4 linked regions of the Anolis sagrei genome follow. The protein of the gene in region 4 interacts with the protein of the main gene of each other region in a pairwise test. Links are inferred from orthologs where the notes say so. Each region holds a gene or a part of one and is shown on either strand. Other genes may lie near its edges.

Evidence for each region.
Region 1: the proteins of SUMO1 (region 4) and SOX2 interact in binary tests that used the Homo sapiens proteins (3 or more experiments, as listed by UniProt). The two-hybrid records come from large-scale screens. The link is inferred for Anolis sagrei from reciprocal best matches to the Homo sapiens genes SUMO1 and SOX2.
Region 2: the proteins of SUMO1 (region 4) and ZCCHC7 interact in binary tests that used the Homo sapiens proteins (3 or more experiments, as listed by UniProt). The link is inferred for Anolis sagrei from reciprocal best matches to the Homo sapiens genes SUMO1 and ZCCHC7.
Region 3: the proteins of SUMO1 (region 4) and SETX interact in a two-hybrid assay, tested with the Homo sapiens proteins (2 studies listed by BioGRID and IntAct). The link is inferred for Anolis sagrei from reciprocal best matches to the Homo sapiens genes SUMO1 and SETX.

The regions. Positions count from the first base shown.
Region 1 is NC_090023.1:258,757,062-258,763,798, forward strand, and holds SOX2 (transcription factor SOX-2), read left to right. Parts: upstream 1-4,381; 5' UTR 4,382-5,143; coding exon 5,144-6,166; 3' UTR 6,167-6,228; downstream 6,229-6,737. UniProt on the Homo sapiens protein: Transcription factor that forms a trimeric complex with OCT4 on DNA and controls the expression of a number of genes involved in embryonic development such as YES1, FGF4, UTF1 and ZFP206. Binds to the proximal enhancer region of NANOG.
Region 2 is NC_090022.1:152,631,048-152,638,566, reverse strand, and holds the start of ZCCHC7 (zinc finger CCHC domain-containing protein 7), read left to right. Parts: upstream 1-4,498; 5' UTR 4,499-4,700; intron 4,701-7,519.
Region 3 is NC_090031.1:18,074,827-18,082,455, forward strand, and holds the start of SETX (probable helicase senataxin), read right to left. Parts: upstream 3,004-7,629; 5' UTR 2,811-3,003; intron 330-2,810; 5' UTR 329-329; coding exon 158-328; intron 1-157. Other genes in the region: TTF1 (transcription termination factor 1), read left to right, coding at 4,321-4,952, 6,407-6,624, 6,713-6,898. UniProt on the Homo sapiens protein: Probable RNA/DNA helicase involved in diverse aspects of RNA metabolism and genomic integrity.
Region 4 is NC_090021.1:165,250,701-165,258,571, forward strand, and holds the start of SUMO1 (small ubiquitin-related modifier 1), read right to left. Parts: upstream 3,013-7,871; 5' UTR 2,819-3,012; coding exon 2,807-2,818; intron 1-2,806. UniProt on the Homo sapiens protein: Ubiquitin-like protein that can be covalently attached to proteins as a monomer or a lysine-linked polymer.

The sequences.
Region 1 (6,737 bases), on a different chromosome or scaffold from region 4:
GCCACGTTTCGCCGCCTTCGTGCCTTGTTGAAGGCGAATGCAATTAACGGAGAGGCCCAACTTTCACCGCTTAACTGTGTTTATTATAGAGTAGCGTGGCAAGAAAAAGCTTCGTGAGTGGAGGGATAAATAGAGAGGGACCTTCCTTCTCTCCCCCCCCCCCCGCTCCCCGCAACCGATTTACTCCGGATTTATCCCTCCATCATGGTGTGAAGAGCGACAATCTTGCTTCCTCCCCTTTCCTTCCAAGATATTTTTGGGAGGGGGAGGGAAGGACGTTCCCGAGTGTTTAGGCGAAAGTATAAACAACATCCAAGTTAAATATAGTGTCTGGACAATTACAACGTGTCTGTCTTTGGGGTTTTTTGTTTTTGGTTGGGGGGGGGGTCTATTTCTTCTCCTTCACGTCTTTACAGCGCCAGTAAACAAAAATCAAGTGAGAGAATTGGGCATTTCTTGTCTGAATCAACACATCTCGGGATAATAACAAAGTCTTGGGGTAATAATAAAGTCTACCCTCCGAAAAATCCAATTAATTGTTCCTATTAACGGCTGGGTACCCGCTTTCCTTTTTGGGGGGCCTTGGAAGGGCTTTGTTTTTCCCTGGGACGCTCTTTTGGGCCGTGGGGGCGGGCAGCGGATCGGCCAGGAGGGGGCGCGCCAGGCCCGTCCCTCGAGTCTCTCCCCCGGCGCTCAGAGTCCAGGGCGCCCTGCCTGGCGTCTAGGGCTCCTTCCCTTTTGTGTCTCTCTCTCCCTCCCTCCCATAGAAATCACTTTCCAACCGCTTTCCCCCTCCCTTTGGGAGCGAGAGAGGGAGAGGGGACGAGATTCGATGGAGAGTTTTGAAACGCTGTCAATACTCCCCCCCCCCTTCCCTCTTCCATTTGGAAGGCCTCTTCAACCTCTCCAAACGCCATCAAAATTTCTAATCGGCTCCCAAAGCCTTTCCATCTATCTTTTCTCTCTCTCTCTCTCTCTCTCTCTCCCCCCCCCCCCCAAGCCATTCGAGTTTGAAGTTGAAACAAACTTAAAGCAGGACTAGGGGCCCTTCCACACAGCCCTATATCCCAGGACTTCAAGGCAGAAAATCCCACAATATCTGCTTTGGACTGGGTTATCTGAGTCCACACTCATTTAATGTGGGGTTTTCTGCCTTGATATTCTGGGCTATGGGGCTGTGTGGAAAGGGCCCTGAATGTGGACTCAGCTAGCCCACTTCAAAGCAGATATTGTGGGATTTTCTGACTTGATATTCTGAGATATAGGGCTGTCTGGAAGGGACCTGAGTGTAGACTCAACTAGCCCAGTTCAAAGCCGGAATTGTGGGATTTTCTGACTTGATATTCTGGGATATGGGGCTGTGTGGAAAGGGCCCTGAGTGAGGACTCAGCTAGCTCAGTTCAAAAAGATATTGTGGGGTTTTTGACTTGATATTCTGAGATATAGGGCTGTCTGGAAGGGCCCTGTGGACTCAGCTAGCCCACTTCAAAGCAGATATTGTGGGATTTTCTGACTTGATATTCTGAGATACAGGGCTGTCTGGAAGGGCCCTGAGTGTAGACTCAGCTAACCCAGTTCAAAGCAGGAATTGTGGGATTTTCTGCCTTGATATTCTGGGCTGTGTAGAAGGGGCCTGGGTTGTTGTGAGTTTTCCGGGCTGTCTGGCTATGTTCCAGAAGCATTCTCTCCTGACTTTTCGCCTGCATCTATGGCAGGCATCCCCAGAGGTCGTGACGTTTCGCCCGCCATAGATGCAAGCGAAAGGTCAGGAGATAATGCTTCTGGAACATGGCCAAACAGTCCGGAAAACTCACAACAACTAAGTGATTCCGTCCATGAAACCCTCCGACAATACATTAAAGCAGGACTAACGGACCGAGGAAGGAAAGGGGGGGGGGGGAAACATCCTGGCTTCGTTACTCAGGGGTAAGGGGGTGCTTTTTGAGCAGGTGGGCTTGCGGGGTCTTTCCTCACTCGCCCGCCCTTCCCAAAACACAAATGTGGCTGGCAGCATCTGCTTGGAAAATTTTAAATAAGTGAAAAATAAGGGCAGAAGAGTGGGACCCTTTCCCCCGAATTTGCAACAAAACTGAAAGCCACTAGTGATTGCCGAATTTTTCAGGACTTTTTTTTTGTGTCAGGAGCAACTTGGGAAACTACAAGTCGCTTCTGATGTGAGAAAATTGGCCGTCTGCAAGGACATTGCCCAGGGGGCGCCAGGATATTCTGATGTTTTACCATTCTTGTGGGAAGTTTTTCTCATGTCCCCGCACGGGGAGCTGGAGCTGACAGAGGGAGCTCATCCACCCTCTCCCCAGATTCGAACCTCTGACCTGTCGGTCTTCAGTCCTGCCGGCACAAGGGCTGAGGGGGGAAAGGAAGCCTGAGGCTGTTAGGAATGGTGGGAGTTGAAGTCCAAAACACCTGGAGGGGCCAAGTTTGCCCGTGCCTACTGTAAATGCACCCTGAGCTGTATGTCTAATATCTAGCAATAATCCACAGAATAGAAGAGTTCCTCTGCCTCCTCGCCTTTCCTGGCTCCTACCTCTCTTCACCCCCAAAAACAAGGGCTCAGGGAGGGAACATGGATGTGTGTGCCTGTGCCCCCTCTTCTCCTTGTTATTTATTATTATCACCATAATTATTATTAGTATCCTGCCTTTGTCTCTAGATTGGGGTGGAAAGTGGTTCACAACATTTTTTTTAAAAAGTGCTATTTCATATCTTTAACATACAAGTATTAAAATAGAATTAAACAACCAAATCGATTAAAATTCTTTAAAAGACTTAATGAGTGCTAAAATAATCCCATGCCTTGCAGCTACCCCCCTGGCTCCCTCTCCAGAACCTCTTTCTTTTAAAAGCCTACTTGTTCTTGGACCTGTGCACCTGCTTCCTAGGGCTGTTTGAGGAGGGAAATAATGGCACCTTTTTAAAATACTTTTTTTAAATAGTTGGGGGAAATGTGAAGGGAGGAGGTTGCTGGAGCTGGAAGGGTTTCTGGCTGGAAAAAAGGAGATTCTGTGACTCTGAAGCACTGAGATGGTATCTGTGTGTGTGTGTGTTTGCACTGAATCCCTCCTCCATGTGAGGAAGAAAATGTTGAAGGGGGTAGAGAAAGGCTTTTAATTATTTCATGGAGGGCTGTGTGATAATCTGGAGGAAAGGCTATCCCTAAACTGGTTGAGGAGGCCCAGTTTGGGAAGAAGAGGAGGCTTGGTGGCATCTGCCCCTCTTATGGTTGACTTCCCAGGGACTGTTCTGCTAACATCAGGTCCTTTTAAGAAGCCCGGTGAGGACTAGGAGGATGGACCAAGGATCTTCTCGCTGAGCTGAAAGTTTGAGGCAATAGCCAAGGAGAGAGTTTCCTTCTTGCCAAGGGACACTTGTCTGAGAAGGCCAGGGCAGGTTTGGGGTGGGCCTGAGGCCTTTCTTTCCAGGTTGACTTCCCAGGGACTGTTCTGCTAACAAACAGGTCCTCAAGAGGGCCTTTTAAGAAGCCCAGTGGAGACCAGGAGGGTGGACCAAGGGTCTCCTCCGCTGATCTGAGAGTTTGGGGCAAAAACCATGGAGAGAGTTTCCTTCTTGCCAAGGGACCCTTGTCTGAGAAGTCAGGGCAGGTTTGAGGTGAACCCGAGGCCTTTCTTTCCAGGTTGACTTCCCAGGGACTATTCTGCTAACAACCAGGTCCTCAAGAAGCCTTTTTAGGAAGCTCAGTGAGAACCAGTAGGGTGGACCACGGGTCTCCCTGGCTGAGCTGAGAGTTTGGGACAAAAGCCAAGGAGAGAGTTTCCTTCTTGCCAAGGGACCCTTGTCTGAGAAGGCCAGGGCAGGTTTGGGGTGGGCCCGAGGCCTTTCTTTCCAGGCTGAAAGCAGCAAGGCAAGTGGGTTGTGGAGCTCTCACTTGCTGCTTTCAGCCTGGGAAGAAAAGCCCAACAACCGCGGAGGGTGGAAGAGCCCACGCGCGTCCACAGGGAGAAGTGGGGCCAAGAAGGCTCCCTCCCTCTCTGGGCCTGGCTTAAAAGAGAAGAGTAGGGGGGAGCCAAGGGGCAACCTCCCTTTCCTCCTCTCTAGCCCGCACTCAAGTGAAGCCGTTGCCGTTGTTTGTTGTTGTTGTTGTTGAACGCGTCCACACGGCCGTTTGCGCGCTCCCTCCTTCCCCCCTCCCTCCCCGAGGCGTGTGTGTGACCTGTTGCTTTGCAAAGAGGAGCTCGGAGGGGCCCTTTTGAGTGGCAGCCTCCATGTCCCGCCTCCCCGCCCTGAAGCCGCTCACGGCTGGATACTAGTGTGTGTGTGTATGGGGGGGGGGGGGGGAGCAGTGAGTGAGTGAGAGAAGCCCCGCCCCCTTTCATGCAAAACTCCCATCCGAGGCCGGCGCTCAGTGGAGGAGCCGGGCGAGCTCTGATTGGCCGAGGCGAAGGCATTTATTCCCTGACAAGCCCCCCATCACATGGATGGTTGTCTATTAACTTGTTCAAAAAAGTATCAGGAGTTGTCAAGGCAGAGAGAGAGAGAGAGAGAGAGAGAGAGAAAGGCGAGGAGAGAGAGAGAGAGAAAGAAAGAAAGAGTTTGGGAAGAAAGAAAGAAAACAAAACAAAACAAAACAGGGGGAAACAGAGACTTTTCCCCCCCATTTTCCTCCCTTTGCGGGCTCTTTAAGACTTAAGAGCTCCCGAAAGAAAGAAAGGAAGAAAGAAAGAAGGAAAGGAAGGAAGGAAGGAAAAAAAGGGGGCGCCGAGTGAAGAGAAAGAATAGGGGAGACGGAAGAAGAAGAAGTTTTCTCCAGCAGGACTTTCTCCCAGGCGCCTTTGTTATGATTCTCCTGGAGTAGCCTGAGAGTAGCCACCCGAAGAAGGAAGGAAGGAAGGAAAGAAGGAAGGAAGGAAGGCCGCTGTTGGCAGAGAGAGAGAGAGGAAGAGGAAGAGAAGAGGAAGAGGCTGGTCGGTGAAGGGAGGCTCTGCTGCTTGGGGGGGCAGCCTCTCCTTCCCTCCCTCCGACCCTCCCTCCCCAGCAGCCCGACTTCTGACTTTTCCTGCCTTGTGGGCTTCCTTCCTTGACTGTGTGCTTGGCTGCCCCTCTGCCCGCTTCCCCTCCTCGTCGTTCCCCTCCTTGGGGTGTTGGGCCTCTTCTCCCCTTGGCCGCCATGTACAACATGATGGAGACGGAGCTGAAGGCCGCGGCCCCGCAGGCGACGGCCACGGCGGGCGGCGGTGGCGGCGGCGGGAACAACGGCGTGTCCGGCGGCGCCAACAGCCAGAAGAACAGCCCGGACCGGGTGAAGCGCCCCATGAACGCCTTCATGGTGTGGTCCCGCGGGCAGCGGCGGAAGATGGCGCAGGAGAACCCCAAGATGCACAACTCGGAGATCTCCAAGCGGCTGGGCGCGGAGTGGAAGCTGCTCTCGGAGGCGGAGAAGCGGCCCTTCATCGACGAGGCCAAGCGGCTGCGCGCCCTGCACATGAAGGAGCACCCGGATTATAAATACCGCCCGCGGCGGAAGACCAAGACGCTGCTCAAGAAGGACAAGTACACGCTGCCGGGCGGGCTGCTGGCGGCGGCGGCGGGCTCGGGCGGGCTGGGCGGCGGGGTGGGCGTCGCGGGCTCGGCGCTGGGGCCCGGCGGGTGCGCCCAGCAGCGCATGGACGGCTACGCGGCGCACATGAACGGCTGGTCCAACGGCGGCTACGGGATGATGCAGGAGCAGCTGGGCTACTCGCAGCACCCGGGGCTCAACGCCCACGCCGCCGCCGCCGCCGCCGCCGCGCAGATGCAGCCCATGCACCGCTACGACGTGAGCGCCCTCCAGCAGTACGGCGCCCAGCCCTACATGAACGGCTCGCCGGGCTACGGCGCCATGCCCACCGCCGCCTCCTACGCCCAGCAAGGCGGCTCCTCCGCGCCCCCCGGGGCCATGCCGCTCTCCGCCATGGGGCCCGTGGTCAAGAGCGAGGCCAGCTCCTCCAGCCCCCCCGTGGGCAGCGCCTCCGCCCACGCGCGCGCCCCCTGCCAGGCCGGGGACCTCCGGGACATGATCAGCATGTACCTCCCCGCCGCCGAGGCGCCCGAGCCCGGCAGCGCCAGCAGACTCCACCTGGGGCCCCACTACCAGGGCGCCGGGGGGCCCGGGGCCGCCCTCAACGGCACGCTCCCGCTCTCCCACATGTGAGCCTCCCATGCCCCCCACTCACCCACCCACCCCCACGCTCCCCTCCCGGGGCGGACGGATGGACGGACCAAGCGGGGTGCAGACTCTCCGTGAACTCCTTCCCCGCGCCTCCGCCCCGCTATTTTTGTACAGAGAAGGAACTGGACAGGGCCCCAAAGACTCGCCGGGGAGGGGAGGGAGGGGAGGGGGTCTAGAGAGAGGAAGAGAGGGAGAGAAATAGAGGGAGCTCTCCCTCCCCCTCTCTCTCCAGCCGTCGGGCCAAGGCCCCGTCTCCACTGGCCAGGGAATGAATGCGCCCCCACTTTGGTGTCATCCAACTCCTTTCCTAGGTCTGCTTCACCTGCACAGGGAAACTCTTCCTTCAAGACCGGTTCGAAGTGGCATTCAGTGGTCAATGCAGATGGGTTTTTTTTCCCCTGACCCAAAATATGTTTGTTTTATTTCCCTATCCTTCCTTCCTTCTTTCCTTCCTTCCTTCCTTTCCCAGGTTCCAACGCCCCACTCACTCAGTGCTTGGTGTCATCAGACTGCTTCCTATGTATCAGGCATGGGCAAACTTGAGCCTTCCCTC
Region 2 (7,519 bases), on a different chromosome or scaffold from region 4:
TATTATTGTTCCAAAGAAACCCAAATTAACTTGCATCCTTATATGGAAACATTTTTCAAAGTCTCTCTAGCCCACTCCAACCACAATACAAACATTATTTTTTAAGGAATTCCAACTCTTCCCTATGGTCTATTCTTTCAAGGTAATTAATACAGAATAGCACACCTGTACACCGTGAACACATTTGATGTGGAATATGCTGATAAACTGGGCCCCAGAAAATGGGTCACTGATTATATTTCCAATTTGCATTTGGCTCCTGTTCACTTTTTGCTAGTGTGCCAGAAACACAGGTGCTAAAAAGAGAATACTGCAGCCATGGATTTATATTGTCTATCTTGCATTCATCATCAAACCGTGCCTTATAGTTTGCTGGGGCTGTTTTGCTGGAGCTATTAATTTAAATTCTTTCTCCAAGGTTTGTCTCTCTAAAAAGGAAAGAAAGAAAGAAATCACCCAACAGATTTGCGCATATGAATAGAGTGAAACAAAGAATATAATCTTAACCCCAGTGAATGGTTTTCAGACTGACATCTGTACATTAAGAATATGTAAAAATACCAATTTCATGCTCTGACAGCTTATTCTGCAGTGATGGTGTGGGATAATACCATGGGAATGCCAAATGTCAAAGCATTACATAAGTCAGCCATTCATATGTTCTTTTGGTGAATGTTCCTTAAGGGACATTCTTCTTTAAAATGAGAATGCGAATGAGAATGAAGGAAGCAAAGCACAATCAAGACAAAAAGATTTAGGGCAATTTGAAGAATTAGGATTAATGTGAAAATAAACAACTACATTAAGCATGATTTTTTTTTAAAAAAAAAAAGAATTTGTCTTCTCAGATCTTGGAAAGTTACTTTCCCAAAGCATTTAGTTTCACGATCCCTATTTAGTTACCAATCTAGATACAGTGTTTATAACAAATGCTTTCACACATCTCAAAATGATTAAAATACTTACTTTTGGTTACATTAAAACATTCTGAATTCCTCAAGCTGTTGGGTTGTGATGTTGCAAATTTCTCACCCCCTCTATCTCAGTACCCACAAAATAATAATAATAATAATAAGAATAAGAAGAAGAAGAAGAAGATGTAACACGAGATAATATGACAAACCAGGTCATATTGCTCTCTGCCATTTGGCGAGGTTAAATCCCCCAACTTTAACACAACCATTCCAGATTATGTAATGAAAAGTTCTAAAGGATATGAATACTTCAAATGATGCTTTGGTGGACCAATAAAGGTATCAGCAAACTCTGGGCTTTAATTCATAGTCCACACTGCTAAGTTTATTTTCTTTTTTTAAAAAAAGTTACAGTTGTATTGTCAAAGATGTGATGTGTACCTTATCCCTACATAAATTAGGATAGACTCCATCAACTCTGCTGGGCCGGCCACGTTGTCCGGATGCCCGACCACCATCTCCCAAAGCAGTTGCTCTACTCTGAACTTAAGAACAGAAAACGGAACGTTGGTAGACAGGAAAAGAGATTTAAAGATGGCCTGAAAGCCAACCTTAAAATCTCTGGCATAGACACTGAGAACTGGGAAGCCCTGGCCCTTGAGCGCTCCAGCTGGAGGTCAGCTGTGACCAGCAGTGCTGCAGAATTCGAGAAGGCACGAGGAGGTACGAGGGTGAAAGAGAGAAACGTGCCAGGAGGAAGGTGTGTCAAGACAACCCCGACCGGGACCACCTTCCACCTGGAAACCAATGCCTTCACTGTGGGAGAAGATGCGGGTCAAGAATAGGGCTCCACAGCTCCACAAGGAAACCCATCATGGAAGACCATCTACTTGTCCAACGAGGGATCGCCTAAGTAAGTAAGTAGGATAGAACATAGTTCCGCCTTAATTACTGGAGAAAAGGAGTGAATTAAGTTTTCTAAATGGTGTTGTGACACATTTGTGTGTTAGCTTCATTGTGTATGTGTGCCACACAAGGTAAAGGTTTCTCCTTGACATTAAGTCTAGTTGACTTCAACTCTGGGGGGTGATGCTCATCTTCATTTCTATGCCAAAGAGCCAGCATTGTCCGTAGATGCCTCTTAAGTCATGTGGTCAGCATGACTGCATGGAGTGCCGTTACCTTCCGACCGAGATGGTATCTATTGATCTATTCAAGCTTACATGTTTTCAAACTGCTAGGTTGGCAGAAACTGGGACTAATGAAAGGAGCTCACTCTGTCCCAAGGGTTCGAACCACTGACCTTCTGGTCAACAAGTTCTGCGCTTAATGGTTTAACCCACTGCACCACCACATGCCTTATAAACATAACAAATAAACCTCTGAACCGATGTGAAGGGAATAATGATAGGCTTTCGTTAGGTATGTTGGGTCCCCATACTTTTTGTTATGACAATTCATGTATGTGTCTGTATCTCTCATAAGGGGTTGATTTAACCTCCAGTTTGCTAGTAAAACAGAATTACTGTGCTGCAAAATGATGTATGTCTATAAAGTGTGTCACTAATATGAAATGTTTGAAAAGCTCTGAGTTAAGTAGTTACTTATTTGTAATTATTTATTTATTATCCTGCTCACTGGAGGAAAGGATAGTAGAGGCCAAGATGAAGTACTTTGGCCACATAATGAGAAGACAGGAAAGCTTGGAGAAGACAATGATGCTGGGGAAAATAGAAGGACAAAGCAAGAGGGGCAGACCAAAGGCAAGATGGATGGATGGTATCCTTGAAGTGACTGTTTTGACTTTGAAAGAACTGGGAGTAGCCACGGTTGACAGCTCTGGCGTGGGCTGGTCCATGAGGTCATGAATAAATAAGCTTTATTTCTGGAATTGCAGAGGGATTGGTTGTGATAGAGCACTTTGTTTTTCTTGATGTTCAATGAGAGGCAAGCTTTTCATATGCTTCTGCAAATGTGTTTAAAGTGGTTTGTAGGTCTTCCTCTGAATGAGCACAGACTACATTATCATCATCATACTGAAGTTGTATAACGAGCTTTTGTGACCTTATTTTTTGTTTTCAGTCTGCTGAGGCTAAAGAGTTGCCATGAGTCTCATAGGTGATTACTTCATCGATGGAAAACTTTCAGTTAACAAGGTGCACAATCATAGCCATGAATGTGGAAAACAAGGTTGAAGCAATTAACGCATCCCTGTTTGACACATCATGTCATTGTGATGTCAGGTGAAGGAAAACTTGGAACATACTGTAGACCAGGGGTCCTCAAACTTTTTAAACAGAGGGCCAGGTCACAGTCCCTCAAACTGTTGGAGGGCCGGATTAAAATTTGAAAAAAAGCATGAATGAATTCCTATGCACACTGCACATACCTTATTTGTAGTGCAAAAAACACTTAAAAACAATACAAGAATTGAAATGAAGAACAATTTTAACATATATACATTTATTAGTATTTCAATGGGAAGTGTGGGCCTGCTTTTGGCTGATGAGATAGGATTGTTGTTGTTGTTGTGTGCTTTCAAGTCATTTCAGACTTAGGTTGACCCTTAGTGAGGACCAGGTAAATGATCTTGGAGTGGTGAGGGAGGAAGGGGACACCCGCCTAGCTAGCCAGATCAGCCGAATCAACCCTGGCGATCAATGGGGTGACAGATGTCGCAGCCAGATCACCCTCACATCAACTTAGGTTGACCCTGAGCGAGGGCCGGGTAAATGACCTTGGAGGGCCGCATCCGGCCCTTGGGCCTTAGTTTGAGGACCCCTGCTGTAGACAGTAGTTCACCATATACCCAAGCCCTAAGGAGAGGGAAGTAACATTTATTATTATTAACCACAACAATAAATTATTAATTATAATTATCCTATGCTATTTGTTGTTGATCCATTCCTTTACAAATCGACCATTTGCCAAAATATACAATCCTTTGCTTCTCTTTTCCATTTCTGGCCAAATAGCTTAACCATTGGTTTCTCCCATCAAATATGAGGTCTGCCCAAGGGTGGTCTCTTGGTATTCAGTTTGTCTGTCATTCATCAAAATGTCCATTGGTTGTTTTGAGTTATGTTAATCCCACAAACAAACATTACATTTTTATTTATATAGAGGGCACAGATTCCTGACCTCAGAGTATAAAAGGACTGATGCGTGTAAGGTGAGCAAAGTAGGCCACAAATGGATACTATGCCCTTCAATGTAGGGCAGCGTTTCCTAACCTTTGGTCCTCCAAATGTTTTGGTTTTCAGCTCCCAGAATTCCTGACTGTTGGCCAAACTGGCTGGGACTTCTGGGAGTTGAAGTCCTAAACTTGGAGGATGAAGGTTGACATAAAAGGCCAATGTTCCCATATAACCTGGTACAGATCTGGAAGCTCCCGGAAGTGACATCATTGATCAGCTCTCCTTTTTGTAGTTTCAACACCCGAAGGCGGCTCTTTTTCCCCCTTCGCCCCGCCCACCTTCGGAACAGACCTATCAGGCGCCGGCACAGCTGCGCGCACGCTTTGAGGCTTTGTCCTCCGCCCCGCCCCCTCCCTGCCTGCCTCCGCGCGCTCCTTGTGAGTTCAACGGGCTTGCGCTCTCGTCTCCCGGCTTCTCTACCTAAGCGCATGCGCAGTGCAAGGCACGCGCCTCCTCAGGCGCGCGGCGTGGGGTTTCTTGCGTCTCTCAGCGGGCGGAAGCGCAGCCCGACGTGAGGGGCGGGGGAAGGCGCTGACGGCGACGCTGGTTCCGGTCGCGAGGGGCTTCCTGGTCGCAGCAGGCAGCGCTAGTGAGTAGCAGCGTGAGCCCTGAGTGGGCTGCCACGTGTATGAGGGGGACGTGTGTATGGGCCTCCGTGTTAGCCCTACTGTGGGGGAGCCCTTCTGCCTCCTGGCCCTCTCCAGGGCACTTCCCTTCTTCCCCAAGCAGAAGCCCGCCCTGTTGGGGCCGCTCGCCTCAGGAAAATGGGGGGACATGGAGATATCAAACGCAACACCACAGTTGGAGTGCATTGGGCATTTCTGTGGGGTAGAAAGAGTAGCCTTGTTCTGCCCATTCCTGAAGGCACTGTCCCTTCAGACTGTAAAGCAGGCATGGGGAAACTTCGGCCCTCCAGGTGTTTTGGACTGCAACTCCCACAATTCGGAATTGTGGGAGTTGGAGTCCAAAACACCTGGAGGGAAAGTTTCCCCATGCCTGCTATATACCTTAAATAAGTATTTGCAAATATAGATACAACATTATTATGATTGTTTACATCTCGTCGGGACTCAAGGCGGCTGATAATAATAATAATAATCTTTATTCATACTTCGCCACCATCTCCCCAATGCGGACTCGGAGCGGCTTACATGGGGCCAAGCCCGAACAACAATTACAATAAAGAAAAACCAATATACAACCGAAAACGTGAACGATAAACAATAACATAATAAATACATAAAACATGTGGATACATAACTGTTCTGTCGCCGCTGGACCTGAAATGAAGTGCCTTTAAGAGAGGATACATGGCTTGAATCCCAGCGGGAAGCTAGAGGGCCCGAAAAGAAGCCTTTAGAGAATTTTCCCTCATTAAACAGTCTTTAGGAGGCTTGAGCTTAAATATAACAGTCTTTTATTGATGAACAAACAGGAATTGTAAAGCTTTCTTGGCAAAAGCCCGTTCTCTCAAACTTGTCCACAGGGAACAGGCACTATCTTCAATAACTTTGTTCAAAGGAAAATTCCCCTTTCTAGCTCCTCCCAGGCTGCTGTGAACCTAAACCTGACTGATTTGAATCCACTACCGGCTGAATGTCTCAGAACCGAGCAGACGTACCAGCAGGCCTGTAGTCACTTAGCTGGAGATCTTGACGATTAGAGCTGTTATTCCCTCTGGAATTCCTCAGGGCTGTAAGGCTGTTTCCCCGGAACCTTTGGGAATCTTTAGAGGCTCTTAAGACTGTTCTCCCCCGGGAAGTCTTAAGGGACTAAGCCTTTGTATAGGAGGACGTCTGTATACATCCTCTGCATTGACTTCCTTTACTGAGACTAACTGAAAAATGGCCCCTTCCCTCCAAAAAACCCAGAGAGGGGCGGGACCAGGGATCCTAACTATAATTGACAGGTGGCTTGCCCTATGAATGCAGCCAAAGGAAACTACCTATCTGCAAAGTCCCTGCAACTTAGGACTATGACCAAACACTCAGTGCAAAGCACAAAATTGGAGTCCCTGGAACAGCCGTTCCAGAACAATAACAATGTAAAAATTACAATAGACACAGGCACAGTTACAGAAGGCGGGCTACATGTAATTATTAAAAGACAAACTGATTACATCTAATTAAAAACTCAGACAAGATAAAAGAGAGAAGCAGATAATTTGCGGAGGAGGGGTCATTATGATGGGGGTTGTGGAGTCAGGCTTTCCCACGAGGGGGGGGGGGAAGTCTACTCCAATGACAGAACTTTGAGGCTAAAAACAGTCATGTGAAATTGTATACCTACTCATCAAAGGCACAGCGGAAGAGTCAGGTTTTAAGGTTTTTTTAAAAAACGTCTAGAGAAGGGGCTTTCCTAATTTCTCCAGGTAATGAGTTCCAGAGTCAGGGAGCCACAGCAGAAAAGGCTCTCTCCCTTGTACTTACCAGGCGAGCTTGTGACACTGGCAGTGGCGAGAGCAGGGCCTCCCCAGAGGATCGGAGAGCCCAAGGTGGTTCATAATAATAAAACCATAATGCAAAACAAATACAATTTTTAAAAGAAAAAAGGCATATGTGTGCTTACTTTTAAAGTTTAAACACAATTAAAATTGCATTTGAAACTCACCATCCCCCTCATAATCCCACCCACAATTATTATTATAATTATTATAATAATCTATATAAATAAAAATAAAATGTTCGTTTGTGGGATTAACATAACTCAAAAACCACTGGACGAATTGACACCAAATTTAAACACAATACACCTGTCAGGCCAATGAGTGACCATCACTCATAAAAACACTGAAAAACACAGCAGAAGAGACTTTTAAAGCCAAAACGCAAAAAATACATTACAACACATGCGCAGAACCACATATATATAGGCAAATACTCATAAACACATATACACACACAAAACACATACACAGACTGGGCCACAGCAATGCGTGGCATGGGACGGCTAGTAATATAATAATAACAATATCTTGTTTGTAACCCAATTGGCAAACATTCAGTGCCAAGACAGACAAACAACGAATCCAGTCAGAAATAATGGATAAAACAATCTCAAAAACCTATAAAACTACCCCCCCCCAAAATAAAAACACCTTATATGTATTCATTTATTGGGCTGAGGGGACTCAAAGCAGTTTCCAATATAACAGTGGCCAAATTTAATGCTGTACATACATGTGAAAACCAAACCATAATTTCTAGACAATAACATATACTATAAATTAAGAACCTATAAAATTCCTATTGAACTGGATTATATGGCAGTGTGGACTCAGATAATCCAGTTCAAATGCCTTGTTATTCTGGGTTATATGGCTGTGTGGAAGGGCCCTATGAAAGAATGTCTGCTCTCTCATTCCTAACAATGGAGCTTGCAATGGAGATGGGACCAAGAGAAGGGCTT
Region 3 (7,629 bases), on a different chromosome or scaffold from region 4:
AACGCAATGCGCACCCTCATTTTGGGAAGCTAATATAGCCCCAAAAGGTGAGCACTGGATTCAAGTAAATAGCGTAATTTCAGCCCCTTGCGACCAACAAGTTGTACAGGCTTGATATACATTTGCAAAGCAGCTTCACAAGCAAGGTGCTACCAACCTCATGCAAGTCAGGGAGCTCTTCCCGGGCCTTGTGATACTCGTCCACGCACTCCAGGCAATAGCAGAGGTCATCGTTGGCAGCTGCAAAGTCCGAGGAGGACGAGGCATAGCTCCGTAGGAGCTGCACGGCCCTAGCGCCCCCCGGGGTGCACCAGCAGCAGGTACTCATTCTGCAGGGAGAGAAACACAAGGAAGAAGAAACGCAACACCACAGGACTCAACAAATGCTAAGTCAAAGGGAAATCCCCACAACTGGCCATCCCTGAGTTACAGACATCCAACTTGCAATGACTTGCAGTTAACAACAATGGGATTGAGACCACAAGAAGTAAGAGGAATCTTATCTTAAATATAAATAGTATTTGTATTATTAATTATATTATTATAAGGCAAAGGTTGTCCCCTGACATTAAGTCCAGTCGTGTCTGACTCTGGAGGTTGGTGCTCATCTCCATTTCTAAGCCGAAGAGCCGGCGTTGTCCATAGACACCTCCAAGGCCATGTGGCCATTGGCATGACTGCATGGAGCGCCATTACCTTCCCGCTGGAGCGGTACCTATTGATCTACTCACATTTGCATGTTTTCGAACTGCTAGGTTGGTCAACAAGCTCAGCAGTTCAGCGCTTTAACCCACTGTGCCACAGTTATATATATATAACATTATAAAATATATGTGTGTGTGTGTGTATATATATATATAGATATAACATTATACAATATATATATTATATAATAATATAATATATATTATAATGTATATCATTATATTACATCTTAGTAACATTATAATTATATTAGATATGTTATTATATATCATTAGTATCATATTATATGCATTACTGTTATATATATATATATATATATATGTATACAGGCTGTTCCCAAGTTACAGACACCCGACCTGCAGCGACTTAAAGTTAAGAACTACGGGCTGAGACCACAGGAAGTGAAAAGAATCTTATATTATAATATGGAAATATATTGTTGTTGTTCATTCGTCTCCAACTCTTCGTGACCTCATGGACCAGCCCACGCCAGAGCTCCCTGTTGGCCGTCACCACCCCCAGCTCCTTAAAGGTCAGTCCAGTCACTTCAAGGATGCCATCCATCCATCTTGCCCTTGGTCGGCCCCTCTTCCTTTTGCCTTCCACTTTCCCCAGCATCATTGTCTTCTCCAGGCTTTGCTGTCTCCTCATGATGTGGCCAAAGTACTTCAACTTTGTCTCTAGTATCCTTCCCTCCAGTGAGCAGCCGGGCTTTATTTCCTGGAGGATGGACTGGTTGGATCTTCTCGCAGTCCAAGGCACTCTCAGCACTTTCCTCCAGCACCACAGCTCAAAAGCATCGATCTTCCTTCGCTCAGCCTTCCCTAAGGTCCAGCTCTCACATCCGTAGGTGACTACAGGGAATACCATGGCTTTGACTAGGCGGATCTTTGTTGCCAGTGTGATGTCTCTACTCTTTACTATTTTATCGAGACTGGACATTGCTCTCCTCCCAAGAAGGAAGCGTCTTCTGATTTCCTGGCCTCAGTCTGCATCTGCAGTCATCTTTGCACCTAGAAATACAAAGTCTGTCACGGCCTCCACATTTTCTCCCTCTATTTCCCAGTTGTCAATCATTCTTGTTGCCATAATCTTGGTTTTTTTTATGTTTAGCTGCAACCCAGCTTTTGCGCTTTCTTCTTTCACCTTGATTAGAAGGCTCCTCAGCTCCTCCTCGCTTTCGGCCATCAGAGTGGTGTCATCTGCATATCTGAGGTTGTTAATGTTTCTTCCAGCAATCTTAACCCCAGCCTTGCATGCATCAAGCCCTGCACATCCCATGATGTGTTCTGCATGCAAGTTAATAAGGTTGGGTGAGAGTATGCAGCCTTGCTGTACGCCTTTCCCAATCTTGAACCAGTCTGTTGTTCCGTGGTCAGTTCTGACTGTTGCTACTTGGTCCTTGTACAGATTCCTCAGGAGAGACACAAGGTGGCTTGGGATGCCCATCCCACCAAGAACTTGCCACAATTTATATATAATATATTAATAATATCTATTCTAATAATAGGAAACCTTTTTCCTAGTTCCAACAGACCTCACTACCTCTGAGGATGCTTGCCACAGATGCAGGTGAAACGTCAGGAGAGAATGCCTCTAGACCATGGCCTGAAAAAACCTACAACAACCCACTGCTCTAGAGGCCTTAGATCAGTGGTTTTCAACTTGAGGTCCCCAGTTGTTTTAGGCCTACAACTCTCAGAAACCCCAGCCACTTTACCAGCTGTTGGGATTTCTGGGAGTTGAAAGCCAAAAAGATAATTAGAATCATAGATTAATGGAGTTGGAAGAGACCACGTGGGCCAGCTAGTCCAACCCCATTCTGCCCTGCAGGGAAAGCACAATCAAAGTCTCCCTGACAGATGGCCGCCCAGCCTCTGTTGAAAAGTCTCCAAGGAAGGAGCTTCCACCAGACTCTGAGGCAGAGAATAGATGATATAATTATGCTCCTGAGGATCCCTTCTGCCTTTCCCTTCCTGGCCTTTGGGCGAGAACAGCCTGCGCCTTTAAAAGGGAGGCCCATTGGAGTCGGAGGCCCTTTAATGCCTCCGGAAGGGCTGTCCCTAGGCCGCGGCCTTCCTTCCTCGCCGTGAGGCCCCGCTCACCTCCTTCTCCTCCGCCGCCTTCTCCTTCTCCTCCTCCCGGGGTCTTCGGCCTCCCTCCTCCAGCCATGAATTTCCGCTCGGGCCTCTACTCCTCCTCCTCCTCCTTCCCTCAGGGCACCCTCTCCGCTCGCGAAGAAACCGGCACTTCCGACTCTGGCGACCCCGCCGCGCCTGCGCAGTCCGCCTTGCCTCTCCGCCTCTCCCAAGATGGCGGCCCGCCTCACTTGAGGAAAGGAGCGCCGGAAGCGGAAGTGACTTTGGAAGGAGGTCTCAAAAGGAGGCTGAGAGGAAGCGGGAGACTTCGGTGGTGAGATGGAGAGAGAGAGAGAGGGATATAGAGAGAGAGAGAGAGAGAGAGAATTAGATAGATACAGAGAGAGAGAGAGACATAGATAGAGAGACATAGAGAGAGTGATAGAGATAGAGATATATATATAGAGAGAGAGACAGAGAGAGTGATAGATAGAGAGAGAGAGAGACATAGAGAGACAGATAGAGAGAGAGAGAAAGAGAGAGAGAGACATAGAGAGAGTGATAAAGAGATAGAGAGAGACATAGATATAGAGTTATATATATAGAGAGAGAGAGACAGATAGAGAGAGACATAGAGAGAGAGAGAGAGACAGAGAGAGAGACATAGATATAGATATATATATAGAGAGAGACACAGATAGAGAGAGAGACAGATAGAGACATAGAGAGATAGAGATATATATAGAGAAAGAGAGAGACATAGAGAGAGAGAGAGACAGATAGAGAGACATAGATATAGAGTTATATATAGAGAGAGAGAGACAGAGAGAGAGACATAGATATAGAGATAGATATATATATAGAGAGAGAGACACAGATAGAGAGAGAGACATAGAGTGATAGAGAGAGAGAGACAGATAGAGAGACATAGATATAGAGATATATATATAGAGAGAGAGACAAATAGAGAGAGAGAGACATAGAGAGAGAGATATATATAGAGAGATAGAGAGAGAGAGACATAGAGAGAGAGACATAGATATAGATATATATATAGAGAGAGAGAGAGAGAGAGAGACATAGAGAGAGGGAGAGAGAAACATAGATATAGAGAGATATATAGAGAGAGAGACAACCGCCCTGAGTCGCCTTCGGGTTGAAATGGGCAGGATAGAAATAATGTAAATAAATAAATAAATATACAAAATGTTTGTACTATGTATTGTGATATATGTATAGTATGCAATGTATTGTTTATGGTATTTTATATCTTACATAATATCTTACGTATATATTCCATATTATGAAATACATTGCCTTATATTATCTTTATCATTATTATTCTTAACTTTGTTTATACCCCACCTTTCCCCCCATGGGGACACTCTCTCTCTCTCTCTCTCTCTCTCTCTATATATATATATATAATCAATTGATTTCCAAGGATTGGGTTATCAAATCCTTAGAAAGTCTCTCCTAACGTCAAGCTAACATTACCTGTGTGAGACTGAACCTCTTGTTTCCTTTTTAAGAAGCAATGAGCGACGGAGCAGAGGATTTGTGCGCAGACAGCCTTCCACTCTTCGTTTCCCCAAAGAAGAAGAAGAAGAAGAAAAGGAAATTGGAGGAATTGAACGGAGAGGAAGAAGCAGAAGAGCGTTGGGTGAATCCTGCTGAAGATGCAGAGAATGATCGGACATCCAAGAGGAAGAAGGACTCCCAATGGGTCGTCAAAGAGAGCGACTTAGAGAGCGAAATGGGAATACATCCCAAGAGAAAGAAAAAGAAGAAGCACCGATCAAAGGAACAAGACGTTGAGCATATAGTCCCGGAAACACCAGAAGAAATCTTGGATCATTTGGAAGATGCGGATTGTGAAGTTCGTCCCAAGAAGAAGAAAAAGAAAGCAGCAAAAGAATCATTAGAAGACGGCGAAGGCCTTTCCATAGACAAGGTTGGCTTTGCAAGGGATGCAAAGGAACTTGTTATGCCTTCAGACATTGAAGACGTTTTGCAGAATGGGGCGGAAACCACGCTTTCTGCACCAAGGAAACCCCACAAAAAGCATAAGAAGCATAAAAAGCATCGATCTTCTTCCCCCAATGCATTTGACGACAACCCAGAAATGGCTAAAGATGGAGAACAGGACCAGTCCAAGCGACATCCTGCGTAAGTATTCGATCCTTGCGCATTTTCATCTTTGCAGTATTTCACACCTTTGAAACCGTTCAGATAATGCTTTTTTTCTAGGCAGCCTCCAACTTGTGTTCCAATGTTGGGCACTTACTACAGTGTTCCCTCACTTATCGCGGGTGTACCGTTCCAGGACCACCCGCGAAAAGTGAAAATCCACAAAGTAGGGACGCAATCCGAGGGTGAGTCAGAAGCGAGGAGAGATTTAACAGCACTGCATACCTTTTTTTTTTACTAGCCATAAGGAAGGGGCCATAATATAATATAATATGATATAATATAATATAATATAATATAATATAATATATATGCATATATTTATAATATTATAATGTAATACAATATAATAGTAAAAATAATACTATGATATTATAATTAAATATTTTATATTACATGCAATGTTACTAATAATATTACAATATAATGGTATAGTACAATATAGTAATATATAATACTGATATTGTACTATGCTAATAATATAATATATATATTGTACGTATATATGTATATCTTGTAAACCACTCTGATTTATTGGCAGTGAGAAGGACGGCATATAAATGTTGTAAATAAATAAATAAATAAGGCATACTGCTTTGTATCTCCTCTCTCTCTTTTTTATGGTTGGCTGCCTCTCTCCTGAGGGGGAGGGGGAAACCCCCTTCCACACTCCATCGTTGCCAGGAGGCAAAACCCCGCAAAACAGCGAGTCTGTGAAAAGCGAACCGCGAAGTAGCGAGGGAACTGTATATTTTCTTAGATTATTATTATTATTATTATTATTATTACTAATCTTATTATTTAATTATTATTATATTTTCTCAGATTATTGTTATTATGTTTACTAGTAGCTTGGGTACCCTGCAATGCCCGGGTTGTTTGAAAAAGGCCTTGTTTGTTTTGCTTTAGCTGAGAATTTCTTATCTTTTTCTCTCGGAGTCTAGCAGATCACCAAAGCCACTATTCGGCACTCCTGTTTTGACTGATCTCTTCCCGTCTATCTATTTGCTCATTAATTTCTGCAGCTGGGCCAGATGCCGAGCTGTTTTCATGTTCCCTATCATGGGAACTCTCTGGTAACAATTCAGAGAGCACACCATCATCCCCACACCCCTCAGGGACATTCTCATGGGAAACTACACTTTGCACAGGGGTCTCCTTGTCATTCTCTGCATCAATATCCCTGGCCAAACCATTGCCACCTTGAAACTCATTAACATCACTCCCCACATCCAAAGCACCCTGATCCTGAAGCACAATCACAAAGGGCAGTCAACCACAAACCCTGCCAGTATGCCAGTATGTATGTCATGTTGGGTCTGTGTGCCAAGTTTGGTCTACATCCAATGTTGGCTGAGTTTGGTGTTGATAACCCAGGAGCACAAAACGTGTCTAATGCCTTGTGTCCCTCTCTTCTGTCTGCCCTGTTTCAGTGCATCTCTAGGTAAACAAGGGCCTCTTCCTCCGTCCTCGGAGCCTCTGGAGCTGGACAACGAGTTCTTTGATTCTCCGGACGTTGTATCGCCGGACCTGGAGAGCCTCACTCGGGAGCTGGAGGAGTTCATTCCGGACATCCGGCGGCGCCCCGAAGAGTTCATCCGCCAGCTGGCGCGCAGGGATCTCCTCCGCTTCAGGAACTTCAAGAAGCAAGGTAAACGAGTGTCTTTGTCGAGGGTCCTGTGGGATATTTGGGGCTGAAACATGTGGGGAAACCAAACAGCCTTCTTTCCCTGGCGCAGGGATTGCGTTGAAGTTTGGGAAGTTCTCCCGGGGGGAGAATGCACTGCTGCGCCGGAACGTGGAGGCCTTTCTGGAGGAAAGCGGCATTGACTCCGCTGAGAAGCTGCTCTTCACCCACCGCTTCCCCGAAGAGAAGGACACTCTCAAGAAGCTCAAGGCACGGCATTTGTTCGGACTCAAGATCGGTAAGCTTACAACTAGTTTCCAAACCCTTAATCAGTACTTACTACTTACTTACTTAGGCGACCCCTCATTTTCCGAGGAGGATTGTCTTCCAGTATTCTTGTGGGTCCGTATGTGGCTGTGGAGCCCTATTCTTGCTCTGCATCTTCTTCCGCAGTGAGGGCATTGGTTTCCAGGTGGAAGGCGGTCTCGGTCGGGGTTGGCTTGACGCGCATTCCTCTTGGCACGCTTCTCCCTTTCGCCCTCCATTCGTGCCTCTTCAAATTCTGCAGCACTGCTGGTCACAGCTGACTTCCAGCTAGAGCGCTCAAGGGCCAGGGCTTCCCAGTTCTCAGTGTCTATGCCAGAGTTTTTAAGGTTGGCTTTGAGCCCATCTTTAAATCTCTTTTCCTGTCCACCGACATTCCGTTTTCTGTTCTTAAGTTCAGAGTAGAGCAACTGCTTTGGGAGACGGTGGTCGGGCATCCGGACAATGTGGCCGGTCCAGCGGAGTTGGTGGTGGAGGACCATCGCTTCAATGCTGGTGGTCTTTGCTTCTTCCAGCACGCTGACATTTGTCCCCATGACGATGCTTAGGATTATTACCATCTTGACTCAACTCTCATTCGCCACTGAATCTAATGCACAATCTAATAGAGCTCGAGATAAAAATAAGTAAGAGGCAGATAAAAATATAATAATAACATTATTAATAATAATAATTAAGAGGCAGGTAAGAAATAAAATAACATTA
Region 4 (7,871 bases):
GTCTGTGCATGTGTTTTTTTGTGTATGTGTATATATTTGTGTATATGTGTACTTAGGTGGTTATGTGCATGTGTTGTGATATGTATTTTTATTTTATTTATTTTTTTGCTTTTAATGTCTTTTCCACTGTGTTTTTCAGTGTTTTTATGAGTGATGGTCACTCATAAAAACAGTTTGAGGGACTGTGACCTGGCCCTCTGTTTAAAAAGTTTGAGGAGCCCTGGGTTAAATCCTTGTGTTAGCAAGACTACTAATCGAAAGATCATCGGTTCAAACCCGGGGAGCGGGGTGAGCTCCCATCAGCTGCACCTTCTCATGCAGGGACATGAGAGAAGCTTCCCACAGGATGGTAAAACACCAGGGCATCCCCTGGGCAACATCCTTGCAGAGGGCCACCAGAAGCAACTTGCAGTTTCTCAAGTCCTGACATCAAAAAATGTAATGTAATATTATTATTATTATTATTATTATTATTTTGGTAGTACTGAAATTAGTGTATGTCTTACAATCAATGGCACCTCAGAATCAAAGAAATACAGTAATCCTCCAATCAGAAAAGTTAACAACTAGAAACATAAGGGCAAGCATCTGGTACCAACAGTAAGCATTACCCAACTTCTGGTTCTTTTTTAAAAGAAAGCCGGGTGCCTTGGGTTGCTCATAGAAGCCAATGGTAAAATGGTATAAACTTCTCTGAAAAGCTGAAAATATGCCAAATAAATATGTACTTAAGTTTCCATCTGGTATTAAGAAACCAGGTAGAAACCTTTTACACGATACCCTGCTATGGAAAATCCTGGCAGGCATAATGCATATGTATTTAATCATGAAAAAATTAAACACAAATAAGAACTTGCAAACCTGCATATTGGAGTTGAGATGTTGTCACTGCAGTTAATGCAGCATATATTCAGAAGCTTTGCTTCCAGTTGTTTTGTTTGTTGTTTTGTTTCCCTACTGCTTTGATGGTCTTTTGCATCTTCTGAAGTATCTTGACTATCAGCTACAAAAGTTGCTCTGAGAATTATAAGAGCTGTTAACTTCAGAATCAAAATACAATAATAAAAACTAAGGATCAACTCACTAGTGCGATGTAAATATAGTACGTTACCCGTACTTCAAATCTGCCACTTGCAATGAGAAGTAAATTAAAAGTTGCAAGGTTGAATTAGAGGACAATAAAGGTGGACAAAAGAAAAATTGTAATTAATAGTAATGATGGAAGACAAAAGATTTGTAGCATTTGGAAGAATTGCTTTTACAGAATTCATACTAAATCTAGATACAGAAACAGAACCATTGTGTTCAGAAACTATAGTATGGATATGAGACTTGAGTCCCTTCTACACTACCAAATACAATCCAGATTATCTGCTTTGAAGTCATTTCAGACTTAGATTGACCCTGATCGAGGGCCGGGTAAATAATCTTGGAGAGCCATATCCGGCCACCGGTCCTTAGTTTGAGGACCCCTGATCTGGATTATATGGCAGTGTTGAAGGGGTTTCCTATAATCCAGTTCAATGCAGATAACGTGGATTATCTGATATGATAATCTGGATTATATGGCAGGGTAGAAGGGGCCTTCTATAATCCAGCTCAAAGTGGAAAATCTGCTTCAATAATATGAAGTGTCGGCTTTGACAATCTAGGTCGCGGTCCTCAAACTATAGCCCAGGGGCCGGATGCGGCCCTCCAAGGTCATTTATCCGGCCCTTGCTCAGGGTCAACCTAAGTCTGAAATGACTTGAAAGCACACAACAACAACAACAGCAACAGCAACAATCCTATCTCATCAGCCAAAAGCAGGCCCACACTTTCCACTGAAATACTAAGAAGTTTATATTTGTTAAAATTGTTCATTTTAATTGTATTGTTTTTAAGTGTTTTTTGCACTACAAATAAGGTATGTGCAGTGTGTATAGAAATTCATTCATTTTTTTAAAAATTATAATCTGGCCTTCCAACAGTTTGAGGGACTGTGACCTGGCCCTCTGTTTAAAAAGTTTGAGGACCCCTGATCTAGATTATAGTACAGTGTAGAATGGGCATCCTATTATGCAGTTCAAAGCAGATAATCTGGATTATGTGGAAGGGGGGTTCCTATAATCCAACTCAAAGCAGACAATGTGGATTATTATCTGCTTTGATAATCTGGGGGCCCTTCCACATCGCGGTATAAAATCCACAATGAACTGGATTATATAGCAGTGTGGACTCAGATAACTCGGTTCAAATCAGATTTTGTGGATTACCTGCCATGATGTTTTGTGTCATGTGGCTGTGTGGAAAGGCCTTGGATTATATGGCAGTGTAGATCCAGTCTAGATGGGGGTCTAAGACTAAAAAAAAAACACCCCCTAAACGCAGGCCTATGTCATCCTCTTTCGTTTCCGGCGCTGAGACAAGTAAACAAACAGACCCAACTCGTGCACTGCGGTCTGGGTGTATTGGCAAGTAAACAAAACAAGGCCCAGGAGGAAGACTTCGGCCTCCTTTTCCATTCACTCCAAGTCCAGATCATCCCCGCAAAGGAAGGAAGGAAGGAAGGAAGAGGGAGAAGGGGTGGGATCCTTGAAAGGGAAGCCGAGAGGAAGGCTCTTCTGAAGCCAAGCCTCGCAGGGAAGAGGAGGGAAGGCAGGCAAGGCAAGGAATGGTGGGTTGGCCTTCCCCATCTTGGCTGGATCCTGCACTGCCGAGAACGGCATGGCCTGGAGTCGCGGCGGTGCGGATCCCGCCTTTGTTTTCCCCGAGGGGAGCCGCGGAAACAGGCCTCCCGGGGCCGGCGGGCAAGGCGTCCTCCTACCGTGTCCGACATCCTGATGGGTGGCGGGCTCAGGCAGGCAGGCAGCCGCCCTCCTCCTCCTCCTCGCCGCGTCCCCTCTCCACCTCCTGCCTTGCCCCGAGAGAGAGACCCCTAGGCGCCTTCCCTCCTGCCTTCCTCCTCCTCCTCCTCCTCCTCCTCCAAACGCGGAGCCAGCAAGAGAGGCGAGAGCGCAGGGCAAGGAGGGGGCGGGACTTCCTCTCTGCCGCCTGAGCTCACTTCCTACACGCGCAGAGGGAGGAAGGGAGGGGAAGCAAGCAAAACAGGCCGAGAAGGGGCCCTTCCACACAGCCCTAGAGCCCAAATTATCAAAGCAGGAAATCCCACATCATCTGAGTGTGGACTATGGGCCCTTCCCTACAGCCCTATAGCCCAGAATATCAAGGCAGGCAATCCCACATCATCTGAATGTGGACTAAAGGCCCTTCCCCACAGCCCTATAGCCCAGAATATCAAGGAAGGCAATCCCACACCATCTGAATGTGGACTAAGGGCCCTTCCACACAACCCTATAGCCCAGAATAGCATGGCAGGGAATCCCACATCACCTGAGTGTGGACTCAGGGCCCTTCCACACAGCCCTAGAGCCCAGAATATCAAGGCAGGAAATCCCACATCATCTGAGTGTGGACTCAGGGCCCTTCCCCATAGCCCTGTAGCCCAAAATATCAAGGCAGACAATGCCACGTCATCTGAGTGTAGACTCAGGGCCCTTCCACACAGCCCTATAGCCCAGGATATCAAGGCAGGGAATCCCACATCATCTGAGTGTAGACTCAGGGCCCTTCCACACAGCCCCATAGCCCAGAATATCAAGGCAGGGAATCCCACATCATCTGAGTGTAGACTCGGGGCCCTTCCACACAGCCCCATAGCCCAGAATATCAAGGCAGGGAATCCCACATCATCTGAGTGTAGACTCGGGGCCCTTCCACACAGCCCTATAGCCCAGAATAGCATGGCAGACAATGTATCTGAGTATGGACTCAGAGCCCTTCCTCACAGCCCTACAGCCCAAATTATCAAAGCAGGAAATCCCACATCATCTGAGTGTGGACTATGGGCCCTTCCCCACAGCCCTAGAGCCCAGAATAGCATGGTAGGGAATCCCACATCATCTGAGTGTGGACTCAGGGCCCTTCCACACAGCCCTATAGCCCAAAATATCAAGGCAGGGAATCCCACATCATCTGAGTGTGGACTCAGGGCACTTCCACACACCCTATAGCCCAGACTATCAAGGCAGACAATGCACCTGAGTGTGGACTCAAGAGCCCTTCCACACAGCCCTATATCCCAGAATATCTTCTTAGGCGATCCCTCGTCGGCGGAGTAGGATAGTCCTCCAGGATCAGAATTCTTGTGAGTCTGTAGGTGACTTGCGAACACTACTTTACCCACAATATCTGGGAATCGCCAGAAGGCTAAACGGAGGGCTGCACAAACACAACAAGGACCAAGTACCCAAAGCACAATAATCCCAATTAAACAGCTCAGGGGAAGATCTCAGGGGCTCACATGTCTTTACACTAATGCACAGAGCATGGGAAATAAACAAGACGAACTCCAACTTTTAGCACAACACCACAAATATGATATCATAGGGATCACTGAAACCTGGTGGGATGACTCCTATCGCTGGAATGTAGATATCGAGGGGTATAACCTCTTTCACAGAAACCGAACAAAGGGGAGAGGAGGCGGAGTAGCCTTATATGTCAAAAACTCTTATGCTACAGAAGAGATTCAAGACAGCAATCTGGGAAACCAGCTTGAAATCATCTGGATAAGAATCAAGGGAACTGGGACTCAAAAAGATGTCGTTGTAGGCGTCTACTACAGACCCCCAAGCCAGGAGGAAGAACTTGATGAAGTCTTCTGCCAACAGTTGACCAAACAGGCACAGAGAAGAGATGTAGTAGTCATGGGCGATTTCAACTATCCCGATATTTGCTGGAAAACAAACTCGGCCAAGAGTACAAGGTCCAACAAATTCCTCGCTTGCCTTGCAGACAATTTCATGGTCCAGAAGGTAGAAGAAGCAACAAGGGGATTGACTACTCTTGATCTCATCTTAACAAATGCGGAGGACCTGATCGATGCGGTCGAAGTGGTAGGATCCTTAGGGGCAAGTGACCATGTGCTCCTGCAATTTGAGGTACAAAGGAAGGCCGAAACTAAGACAAGTCAAACCCGCATTTTGGACTTTAGGAGAGCTGATTTCCAAAAAATGAAGGAAACGCTGAGCAGCATTCCGTGGACACAGATACTAAAAGACAAGGGAGTTACGGATGGATGGGAATTTCTCAAGAGTGAAATACTCAAGGCGCAATTGCAAACTGTGCCAACAAAGAGAAAAAATAGGACAAGTGCAAAGAAGCCAGAATGGATGTCCAAAGAACTTCTAACTGTGCTAAGACACAAAAGAGACATGCACAAGAAGTGGAAAAAGGGAGAAATCACCAAAGAAGAATTCAAACAAATAGCCAACACCTGTAGGGAAAAGGTCCGCAAGGCTAAAGCAAAAAACGAGCTCAGACTTGCCAGGGACATTAAAAACAATAAAAAGGGCTTCTATTCTTATGTCAGTAGAAAAAGGAAAAACAAGGAGGCGGTAGGACCTCTTCGAGGAGAAGATGGGGCAATGCTGACAGGGGATAGGGAAAAGGCAGAACTACTTAATGCCTTCTTTGCCTCGGTCTTCTCACAAAAAGAGAGTCTTCAACCTCAGCAAGATGGAGTGGATGAGGGTTTGGAGGACATCCAACCCCAAATTGGGAAAGAAGTCGTTCAGGAATACCTGGCCGCTCTTAATGAGTTCAAGTCCCCAGGGCCAGATCAACTACACCCCAGAGTATTGAAGGAACTAGCGGAAGTCATTTCGGAACCATTGGCAACCATCTTTGAGAGTTCTTGGAGAACGGGAGAAGTTCCAGCAGATTGGAGGAGGGCCAATGTGGTCCCAATCTTCAAGAAGGGAAAAAAGGATGACCCAAACAACTACCGTCCGGTCAGCCTCACGTCGATACCGGGCAAGATTCTGGAAAAGATTGTTAAGGAAGTGGTCTGCAAACACTTAGAAACAAATGCGGTCATCGCTAATAGTCAACATGGATTTATCAAAAACAAGTCATGTCAGACTAATCTGATCTCTTTCTTCGATAGAACTACAAGCTGGGTAGACGCAGGGAATGCCGTGGATGTAGCGTACCTGGATTTCAGTAAGGCCTTCGACAAGGTCCCCCATGACCTTCTGGCAAGGAAACTAGTCCAATGTGGGCTAGGCAAAACTACGGTGAGGTGGATCTGGAATTGGTTAAGTGGACGAACACAGAGAGTGCTCACTAATGCTTCCTCTTCATCTTGGAAAGAAGTGACAAGTGGAGTGCCGCAGGGTTCCGTCCTGGGCCCGGTCCTGTTCAACATCTTTATTAATGACTTAGATGAAGGGCTAGAAGGCATGATCATCAAGTTTGCAGACGACACCAAATTGGGAGGGATAGCCAATAGTCCAGAGGACAGGAGCAGAATTCAAAACGATCTTGACAGATTAGAGAGATGGGCCAAAACTAACAAAATGAAGTTCAACAGTGACAAATGCAAGATACTCCACTTTGGCAGAAAAAACGAAATGCAAAGATACAGAATGGGTGACGCCTGGCTCGAGAGCAGTACGTGTGAAAAAGATCTTGGAGTCCTCGTGGACAACAAGTTAAACATGAGCCAACAATGTGACGTGGCGGCAAAAAAAGCCAATGGGATTTTGGCCTGCATCAAGAGGAGCATAGTGTCTAGATCTAAGGAAGTAATGCTACCCCTCTATTCTGCTTTGGTTAGACCACACCTGGAATATTGTGTCCAATTCTGGGCGCCACAATTCAAGAGAGATATTGACAAGCTGGAATGTGTCCAGAGGAGGGCGACTAAAATGATCAAGGGTCTGGAGAACAAGCCCTATGAGGAGCGGCTTAGGGAACTGGGCATGTTTAGCCTGAAGAAGAGAAGGCTGAGAGGAGATATGATAGCCATGTATAAATATGTGAGAGGAAGCCACAGGGAGGAGGGAGCAAGCTTGTTTTCTGCTTCCTTGGAGACTAGGACGCGGAACAATGGCTTCAAACTACAAGAGAGGAGATTCCATCTGAACATGAGGAAGAACCTCCTGACTGTGAGAGCCGTTCAGCAGTGGAACTCTCTGCCCCGGAGTGTGGTGGAGGCTCCTTCTTTGGAAGCTTTTAAACAGAGGCTGGATGGCCATCTGTCAGGGGTGATTTGAATGCAATATTCCTGCTTCTTGGCAGGGGGTTGGACTGGATGGCCCATGAGGTCTCTTCCAACTCTTTGATTCTATGATTCTATGATTCTATGACTGTGGAGCCCTATTCTTGACCTGTATCTTCTCCCGCAGTGAGGGCATTGGTTTCCAGGTGGAAGGTGGTCCCAGTCGGGGTTGGCTTGACGCGCCTTCCTCTTGGCACGTTTCTCTCTTTCGCCCTCCATTCGTGCCTCTTCAAATTTTACAGCATTGCTGGTCACAGCTGACCTCCAGCTGGAGCGCTCAAGGGCCAGGGCTTCCCAGTTCTCAGTGTCTATGCCAGAGTTTTAAAGTTGGCTTTGAGCCCATCTTTAAATCTCTTTTCCTGTCCACCGACATTCCGTTTTCCATTCTTGAGTTTGGAGAAGAGCAACTGCTTTGGGAGATGGTGGTCGGGCATCCGGACAACGTGGCCGGTCCAGCGGAGTTGATGGCAGAGGACCATCACTCCAATGCTGGTGGTCTTTGCTCCTTCCAGCACGCTGACGTTTGTCTGCTTGTCTTCCCAAGAGATGTGCAGGATTTTCTGGAGGCAGCACTGATGGAATTGTTCCAGGAGTTGCATGTGACGTCTGTAGACAGTCCAGGTTTCACAGGCATATAGCAGAGTTGGGAGGACAATAGCTTTATAGATAAGCACCTTGGTATCCCTATGGATGTCCCAGTCCTCAAACACTCTCTGCTTCATTCGGAAGAATGCTGCACTCGCAGAGCTCAGGCAGTGTTTTATTT